Linked DNA regions of Coturnix japonica. Each later gene encodes a partner of the first gene's protein in a complex. Links are inferred from orthologs where the notes say so. Each region holds a gene or a part of one and is shown on either strand. Other genes may lie near its edges.

Region 1 (4,244 bases):
TAGAGCAGGGATGACAAAACAAGTACAGTCACTAGATTCAGTGAAGACAGATCAAGTTCAAAACACTAATAGGATGCAGGCAAGCACTGACCTTCAACATGTGCACGTTTTCAAACAGCTACAGATATCAGCTATAAAACTAGAGCAAGTACAATATGCAAATGACAAGCATTGTGCCAAGGTAGCAGAAACAATGTTCAGGAACAGCACTACAATAAGAATGCACATGCACCTTTCCTAACATTACTGACTTCAGACAGAAACCAAATGGCACAAAAGTCTTTTTTCACTCACTGGTGTCTTGATGTAGGTGTGAGGATCTGGAAACTCAGGGAAATAGCCAGGGATGTGGGATGGATGTGGCTTGTTCTGTCCAGCTGTCAGGGCTTTGGGAGTCACGGGCTGATTTGTCACAGGAGCTATGGTTAAAAAAGCACATGCACTACATGAGCATATGACACAAGCAACAGTTTCAGGTTGTATTTGGCATCCCAAAAGGGAACAAGGCTTACATGACCCCTCCTACACAAGGAGAACCACCTTGAGGATTCTCATGTGCAATGAGGATACTGAAGCAAAAGCAACAGGTTTGGCAAAGGACAGACACTCTCCTTCACCTACTACATCATAATTACAGGAATCTTTAACACAAACTGAGTGCCCCGGAGCAATGGACTACACCATCCATGAGAAAAGCAGCAGCTCTCTGGATGCCAGCAGATAGAAAAGACAAATGGTTTCCTGCACAAGAAAAGGACTTCTCACATACGGGCAGTGATCACCATCCTCTGGGAGCGCTTTGCATATGCAGGAAGTGTTTCAACATTGAACCCTGAAATACAGAAGAAGAGAAAAATGGAATCACACCAAGAAGAAAGAAAATAATGTACTCTGTGTGCATACACACTACATCAACAGCAGTGATACTGGAGCCTCTGTGTGCAACCCAGAACAGCCGACATCACACAACTACACCAGGAACAGACTGTCATGGCAACACAGAACACCCACTGTATGTATGTGGAATGAGTGAGATGAGTCAGCTACTCACCCATCTCCACTAAAGTAACAACTATGTCAGACAGCGTGGGCTGTGTTCGGGCTGTATGCTCACAGTAGGACTTTGCACTCCTTCCAATTTCAGAAATATCTGGAGGGGAAAAAACCACCAACAACCATTACATGTTCATTTTATTTTATTCACATTCCATGTTCATTTCAGGCAGCAAACACACATTTGTGTCAGCACAACACCTGACTTTTGATCAAATCTAGTGTCATGGTTTTATGATTTTTGTTATTGTTATTGCACATCATAACATCATGGAAAGCACCGGGAGTTAAAGAGTTAAAACAAAACCAAACAAACAAACGAAAAACAGAAAGAGCGAAAGCAAATGTGAACCGATTTCAAGGTGATTTTGCCCTAAATCTGGTGGCACCCGACACTCACAGCTCTGTAACATCTCTGTCAGTGTTTCCACCGCAGCCTTCTCAGCGCTCTCAAAGCCGGCTTCAGTGAGCAAGGAGCTGACCACCACCTGCAGTGTCCTCCTTCGGGCCAGGTAGTAGTTATCTGCTGGCGTGGTCGTGTGCTTGCTGCCCGACCGCTGTGGACACAGACCCCAAAACACTGAACCTGAGCCCCAGACGAGCTGCCAGCACTCGCTCTGTGCTCACACATTGTCCCTGCACACATCACGGGTGTACATACACAGCACCTACCTACACACAGTACAGACCCACCTACACAGACACACATGTACAGACATACACACATGAGGACTGCTCTGAAAGTAATGCCTCCTATTTCATGATGTCGACATCAGGGTTAGATGTTGGAGGCGGGGTAAAGGCTGAACCTTCCTGCCAGCATTGTGTACATTACATTGTGTACATTACATTGTGTACATTACATTGTGTACATTACATTGCTGTGTGACAGGTGGCAGCAGCTGGACATAACGGTGTGTAATGAAGGAGTGTGAATGAAGCACAGAATCACTGTGTTCCTGGATGAGGGCAGATGCTTCTGGAGACAGAGCAGCCGCTGTGAGCACAGTGCGGCGTGTTCCAGTGATAACAGTGGGTCACTCCAGCAGTATGAGTGCAGCATGCAGCTCTTCTCCAGTGCCAATATGGGCAATGGTGGTGACCGTGTTAAACAGCAGTGCTTTCCAGATGTGCAAACACCTGATCACACAGTATGATTGTGCTGTACCTGCTGCAGCTTCCATGCGAATAAATAGGAGGCTTTACCTTAGGAGCGCCCTACAAGCAGTGCCTGTCCATACTCATATCCCCATATTTACACACGTTCCCCCATAGTCGCTCTGTCCCTTTAAACGCTGCATCAGAGCTCGGACCAATCACAGCTTGCCGCCAAGCCCCGCCCCCACGCAGCCATGCAGCCAATCAGCGCCTCCCTCCGTTCAGCTCCCCCTTAAAGCCGCCGCGCTCAGCCCGCAGCCGTTAGTGTCCCGCTCCCGGTGCAGGCCGCGCCGCTCCGCCCGGAGGGGCCGTTCCCACAACGACCCCGCGGCCCGACGAGGAGCCGCCGTTACCGTGCCGGAACCGCCGGGCGCCGTGTCGGCCATCTTGGAGCCATAGAGCGCTGTGCGCATGTGCGGGGCGGTGGGGCCGTGCGGCGAGGCGCGCGTTGCACTGTGGGGGCTGTAGGCGGCTCCAACATCCCCCACAGCCCCGCGGTGCGACCGGGACGGGACAACGACGGGATGGTGATGGGACAACGATAATGGGACAACAACGATGGGACGGCGATGGGACAACAACGATGGGACGATGAGCTCCGGTAACGGCGGCTCCATGGCGGGGCAGCGGCCCGGCCCGGCAGCGCTGCACGATGCCCCGAGAGCTGCGAGAACCTGCAGCCCCGCCCCGCGATGCCGGAGCCGTGTGGAGAGTAAACAACAGCCAGGAGCGGGACGGGACCGGGCAGCGGAGCTGGTGGATGGTGAAGGTACGAGGCACATAATGGGTGGATGGAGCGGGGAGCTGCTGCCATAGTACGGCCTGGGCCTGAGCTGCCGGTGTGTGAAGGTGCCGTTGTTGTGGCGGTGTCAGCACCCAGCTCTGCTGTGCCCGGCGGGGTCGGTCCCTCGCTGTGTTCGGGGCTGTGTGTGCTGTGCTGGCTGCTGGAATTGGTGGCAGTGATTAACGGAGTGTGAGGGAGCACAAGGAGCTGGGAATGGAAGCGCTGTGTGTGGTGGAGCTGTGACCTGCTGGTTGATTGTGGGGCGGAGTGATGTGCGTTATATGGAGGGATGTGGCAGCTGGGAGCTCAAAGCAGCCGAGTGAAGCTGCTGAGAACAGGCTCAGGCTTCATGTTGGGTGGCTGCATTACTTGGTTTATTCACACGTGGGAGCTGTTGGATAAATGAGATCCCAGCCCTGTGCTGCCCGGTTGGTTTTCGTTGGCTTTGTGGGTTTTTTGTTTGTTTGTTTTACTCTTGGGAATACTTTTCCCCCATCCCACAGTATCATACACTTCAGAACAAAGCTGTTTCTTTGTACACAGGGTGTCTCTGAGGAGGGGGTAGCAGGGGAAGCCCTGCAGTGAGGGCTGCTGGGTGCTCTAGTTATTGGTGCAGAGCACTGTGTTATTTTGGATTCCAGTCCTGGCTGCATCCAGCCTGCTGAATAACCAGACACAATCTCTTTGCTCCTCTGCACGTTTTTTCCCATCAATAAGTACTGCCATGCCTTGTGAGCTGCTCTCAGAACTGATAAAGTGCACCCGCTGATGTTACAGTACATAACATAACATTGGTGGTGGTGTCAGCTGGAGCCCTTGGGTTCTAACCAGAGCACTGCAGTCCCTTCTAAACTCAGTTACAAACTGAAAATCCAGAGCCTGGTGGAATTTTCCTCAGCTAAATATGTGCAGAAGTCCCTAAAATCACAGGTGCTGCATCCTGTTTTATGGCACAGGTACATCATTCTGTTATGCATGGCTTCCGTTTGCCTGGCAGGGTGGGAGTGGGAAATGCTTCCATAAAGGTCTGGCTGCTCAGTGATGTCGGGGTTTCTTGTGTGTCTGTGAAGCAGCAGCTGCTCGCAGCCACCGGAGGAGACTGGCCAGCCAAGAGGAAAGGGGTGAAGTGAAACAAGGAGAGCTTCAGGGCTGTGCTGAAAGATGTTGCCAGGGATCTGATGTGGAAGGGAAGGAATCTGGAAGCGAGCAGAACCATGCTGGCTGTTCGTGTCCATAGGTGGAGGGTGAC
Region 2 (4,082 bases), on another chromosome or scaffold:
TTGGCACATGGAGCCCTGGGCGCTGGAGCTGCTCTGTGCCAAACCCAGAGCGAGGCAGAGGAGCCTGGCTGCAGCTGCAGCAGCCGTCACAGCCCCAGAACCTTCCTCTTACGAGACATGCTACAGGGAAAGAAAGCACAGAGGAAGCTGGGCGCTTCTGTTTGCACGATGCCCACAGCCCTGCAGCAGCTCAGGGCAGGCTGAGCCCTCCAGGAGATGCAGCTGCAGTTCCCTGCTGTGCAGCCCTCAGCCATCACCTTCTGTTGGTGCTGGCAGAGCAGAACTCCGTGGGCCAAATGCTGCTGCTGCACTGACAGCAGGAGGGCGGCAGGAAACGGGGGGTCTTTCCACCAGAAAAAAAACTACCCATTGGTTTAATGGAGCAGAAGCAAACCCTAGAAAAGTCCCCAGCAACGAGCCCTGCTTTCACGTGAAGTAGTGCGGCTTCTTCACATTGATGCCGTATTCCGCCAGGGCGGGCGTCAGGTCCTCCATGGTCAGAGTGTATTTCTTGTCCTGGGGACAAAGGGCAGCATCACTCACAGCACAGACACAGCACAGATAGATACATCACTCATAGCACACAGACACAGCACAGATACATCACTTGTAGCACAAACACAGCACAGACACAGCACTCATAGCACACAAACACAGCACAGACACCTCGTGCCTTCAGCCCTTGGTTGGGGTTTTGACCCTCATTGGAGCAGTCCATGTGTGTGTGATGCCCAGTGGCTGGGCATTAACCAGCACCAAGTGCCTGAAAGCTGCATCTGCTCTTTGCCCTCCACAGCAGAGAAACGCACTGAGCATTACTCAGCGCATCTATTGCACTGCCCCTAAGCCACAATTGGGGCTGTGTGGATTCCAGAAGCTATTTCTACACGCTTCCTCCCTTTATCTTTTTCCCTCAGCGTTAGTTTGGTGCCATCAGGGCTGGGTGGCCCTGCAGTATCTCCATACACAGCACTGCCCACCTCCTGCCCACCACGCTCCCTCCCATTTAGTCAGCACACATCAGCCTCCCATGAGGTTCAATAAGGACAAGTGCAGGGTGATGCATTGGGTTGGGGCAACACCAGGTGTGTGTACAGACTGGGGGAAAGTCTCCTTGAGAGCAGCCCTGCAGAGGACTTGGGGGGTGAGAAGCTGGATATGAGGCAGCAGTGTGTGCCTGCAGCCTGGAAGGCAACTGTGTGCTGGGCTGCATTTAAAGGGGCGGCCAGCAGGGACAGGGAGGGGATTGTCCTCTTCTACTCAGCTCTTGTGAGCTCATATCTCAGTGCTGAGTCCAGGCCTGGGGCCTCCAGCACAGGAAGGACATGGAGCTCTTGGAGGGTCCAGAGGAGGCCACTGAGATGAGCAGAGGGGCTGGAGCAGCTCTGATATGAGGAAAGGATGAGGGAACTGGGCTGGTTTGGGTTGGAGAAGAGAAGGCTGCGGGGAGACCTCATTGTGGGCATCCAGTACTTGAAGGGAGCGAATAAACAGGAGGGGGAACGGCTGTTTGTGAGGGTGGGCAGTGATAGGACAAGGGGGAATGGTTTGAAAGTGAGACAGGGGAGGTTTAGGTTGGATCTGAGGAGGAAGTTTTTCCCCCAGAGGGTGGTGACGCACTGGCACAGGTTGCCCAAGGAGGCTGTGGATGCCCCATCCCTGCAGGCATTCAAGGCCAGGCTGGATGTGGCTCTGGGCAGCCTGGGCTGCTGGTTGGTGACCCTGCACACAGCAGGGGGTTGGGATGGATGAGCACTGTGGTTCTGTGCAACCCAGGCCACGCTGTGACTCTGTGACCCAGGTCAATGCCTGGCAGTGCCCCCCATCACACCCACCTTGCTCTTGTTGCGGGAGCTCCCCGAGGCCGTTCCCTTCATCTTGCAGTGCTGCAGCGCGTCGTTGGCGATGTCAGAGATGAATTTCTGTGCGGCCAACGAGATCAGCCGGATGCTGCGGGCACAACAACGGGCGGGTGGGCGGGGATACGGCACCGGGGGTCGTTCCGCACCCCCCCCCCCCGGCCGCCCTTTACACTCACATGCGCGGGTCGGAGGCCTCGAATCCCGCTCTGTTCAGGTAATACCCGGTGACGGCGTCCGGGATCTGCAGGGAGAGCCGCGCTCAGCGCCCGGTGCTCAGCACTCGGTGCCCGGTGCCGGTGCCCGCCCTCAGCGCCCGCCCCGCGCCGCTCGTACCGTGGGCGTGTAATCCTCCAGCTGCAGCAGGAAATCCACGAGCGGCGTCCCCGACACCACCGGCTTCACCTCCCCGTTGGCGGCGCCGGGCGGCACGTAAACGCCGTTGGACATCGCTCCTTCGGGCGGCGCCGCGGCCGACACGGGAGCTACGGGAGGAGGCGCTCAGCGGGACTCACGGCACCGCACGGTACCGCACAGCACGGCACGGCCCGGCACCGCACGGTATGGCACTGCAAAGCACGGCACAGCACAGGCAGGCCCGGTACAGCACGGCCCGGTCCGGTCCCTCACGGCCTGGCACATCACGGCCCGGCACCGCACGGCCCGGTCCAGCCCGGCCTGGTCCATCACGGCCCGGTCCCGCTCTCCCCTCCCCGCACTCACCGGGTCCCCTCCCCGCCGCCGCTCCCCCGTCCGCTCCCCTGGCCGCTCCTCCTGCCGCACTGGGTGGCGCCCCGGGGACGCCGCTGCCGCCCGCGGCCGGGCTGTGCTTGTTGTCCCCGGTGGTCCCGGTGGTCCCGGGCGCTGCGGGCGCTGCGGGCACCGCGGTGCCGGGGTCGCTCTCGTTGCTGCAGCTCATGTCGCCCCCCCCGACGGCTCCGGCCGCTCCGCAACGCGCCTGCGCGCGACGCGACGCCCCCTCGGCCCCGCCCCCTCCCGCTGCCCATTGGCCGCCCCGCTCCCGTCCCCGCTCCCCATTGGCCGCCCGTCCCGTCGGTCCCGCACACACGGTTCGTATCGCGGCCTTTATTGGCGTCACGGCGCCGTGAGCGCGCGCAGCAGCTGCGGGAAGTTGGGCGTCCCCCACCCGGTCACCGCGTCCCAACCGGGAACGGCGCAAAAACCGCGGCCCTGAACCGCAGCGTCCAGACACGACACGTGGCAGCCGACGGTCACCTGGGGACGGGGCGGGGTCAGCAAAACCCGACCGGACCGGACGGGACCGAACAGCCCGGCTGGGACCGGACCCGCCCCGCACCCCCCGGGACCCCCCCCCGCCCCCCGCCCCGCTCACGTCGAACAGCGCCGCGCCGTGTCCGCGCTCCCGCAGCCGGTACAACGCGGGGTTGATGAAGCCGAGCGGCGGCTGCCCGCCCTGCAGGCGGCGGTCATTGATCAGCGCCAGCAGCCCCGCCACCACCGGCGTCGAGGCCTGGAACGAACGGGGCAACGGGGGACACGGCTCAGCGCCGGGCGGAGCGCACCGACACGACGGCACCGGAACGGGACCCGACGGCACCGAACCGGGACCCGACGGCACCGGAACGGGACCCGACGGCACCGAACCGCGACCCGACGGCACCGAACCGGGACCCGACGGCACTGAATCGCGACCCGACGGCACCGAACCGGGACCCGACGGCCCCGAGCCGCGCCCCGCCGCCCCGCGCTCACCGACGTGCCCGACACCCAGGGCAGCGGCAGCCGGTTGGTCACCACCCAGTAATTGTCCGACAGCGCGGCCAGGTCGGGGTAAGCGCGGCCGCTGCTGTTGTAGTAGGAGCCGGGCGGCAGCTTCGGGGCGGAGCGCAGGAAACTCCGCACCGCATCGGCCTGGGGGAGGCAGCTCCATCAGCTCCATCAGCCCGATCAGCGCCGGCACCGGGGAGCCCCCCCCGCGGCCCCTCCGCCCCCGGCCGCACCTGGTAGTCGGGCATGGGGAAGACGTTGCTGAAGCCGCCGCCGCTGATGTAATCCGTCACCTCCTCCGTCACCAGGAACGGGTTCTTGAAGGACGTGCCGCCCACCGTGGTCACGTAGGGGCTGAGGACGGGCAGGTGCTGCGGACCCCCCCAAACCCGACCCCCCCCCGGGGCTCACACCGCCCCGCAGCCACGAGGAGCCCGGGGCCGCCGTTACCTCGAGGCCGGGAAGCTGGGCCGG

Evidence for each region. Proteins that work in one complex are often made in the same cells at the same time.
Region 2: the proteins of TAF8 (region 1) and TAF10 are in contact, whole or in part, in a crystal structure (PDB 4WV4), measured with the Homo sapiens proteins. The link is inferred for Coturnix japonica from reciprocal best matches to the Homo sapiens genes TAF8 and TAF10. Residues at the interface, in NP_612639.2 of Homo sapiens: Arg33, Thr36, Leu37, Val40, Ser43, Leu44, Leu45, Ala48, Gly49, Phe50, Glu51, Ser52, Ala53, Glu54, Ala56, Ser57, Thr60, Leu61, Met64, Leu65, Gln66, Tyr68, Ile69, Ser70, Ile72, Gly73, Arg74, Ala76, Lys77, Cys80; in NP_006275.1 of Homo sapiens: Pro115, Leu116, Phe119, Leu120, Leu123, Tyr126, Thr127, Thr129, Ile130, Pro131, Val134, Thr135, Tyr137, Tyr138, Leu139, Ala142, Gly143, Phe144, Glu145, Ser147, Asp148, Arg150, Ile151, Leu154, Ile155, Leu157, Ala158, Ala159, Gln160, Lys161.

The regions. Positions count from the first base shown.
Region 1 is NC_029541.1:4,766,686-4,770,929, reverse strand, and holds the start of TAF8 (transcription initiation factor TFIID subunit 8), read right to left. Parts: upstream 2,853-4,244; 5' UTR 2,829-2,852; coding exon 2,565-2,828; intron 1,611-2,564; coding exon 1,454-1,610; intron 1,151-1,453; coding exon 1,052-1,150; intron 833-1,051; coding exon 770-832; intron 420-769; coding exon 295-419; intron 1-294. UniProt on the Homo sapiens protein: The TFIID basal transcription factor complex plays a major role in the initiation of RNA polymerase II (Pol II)-dependent transcription.
Region 2 is NC_029516.1:173,986,065-173,990,146, reverse strand, and holds TAF10 (transcription initiation factor TFIID subunit 10), read right to left. Parts: upstream 2,822-4,082; 5' UTR 2,779-2,821; coding exon 2,583-2,778; intron 2,345-2,582; coding exon 2,196-2,344; intron 2,104-2,195; coding exon 2,039-2,103; intron 1,951-2,038; coding exon 1,836-1,950; intron 517-1,835; coding exon 427-516; 3' UTR 349-426; downstream 1-348. Other genes in the region: TPP1 (tripeptidyl-peptidase 1), read right to left, coding at 2,955-3,095, 3,214-3,351, 3,594-3,752, 3,842-3,962, 4,059-4,082. UniProt on the Homo sapiens protein: The TFIID basal transcription factor complex plays a major role in the initiation of RNA polymerase II (Pol II)-dependent transcription.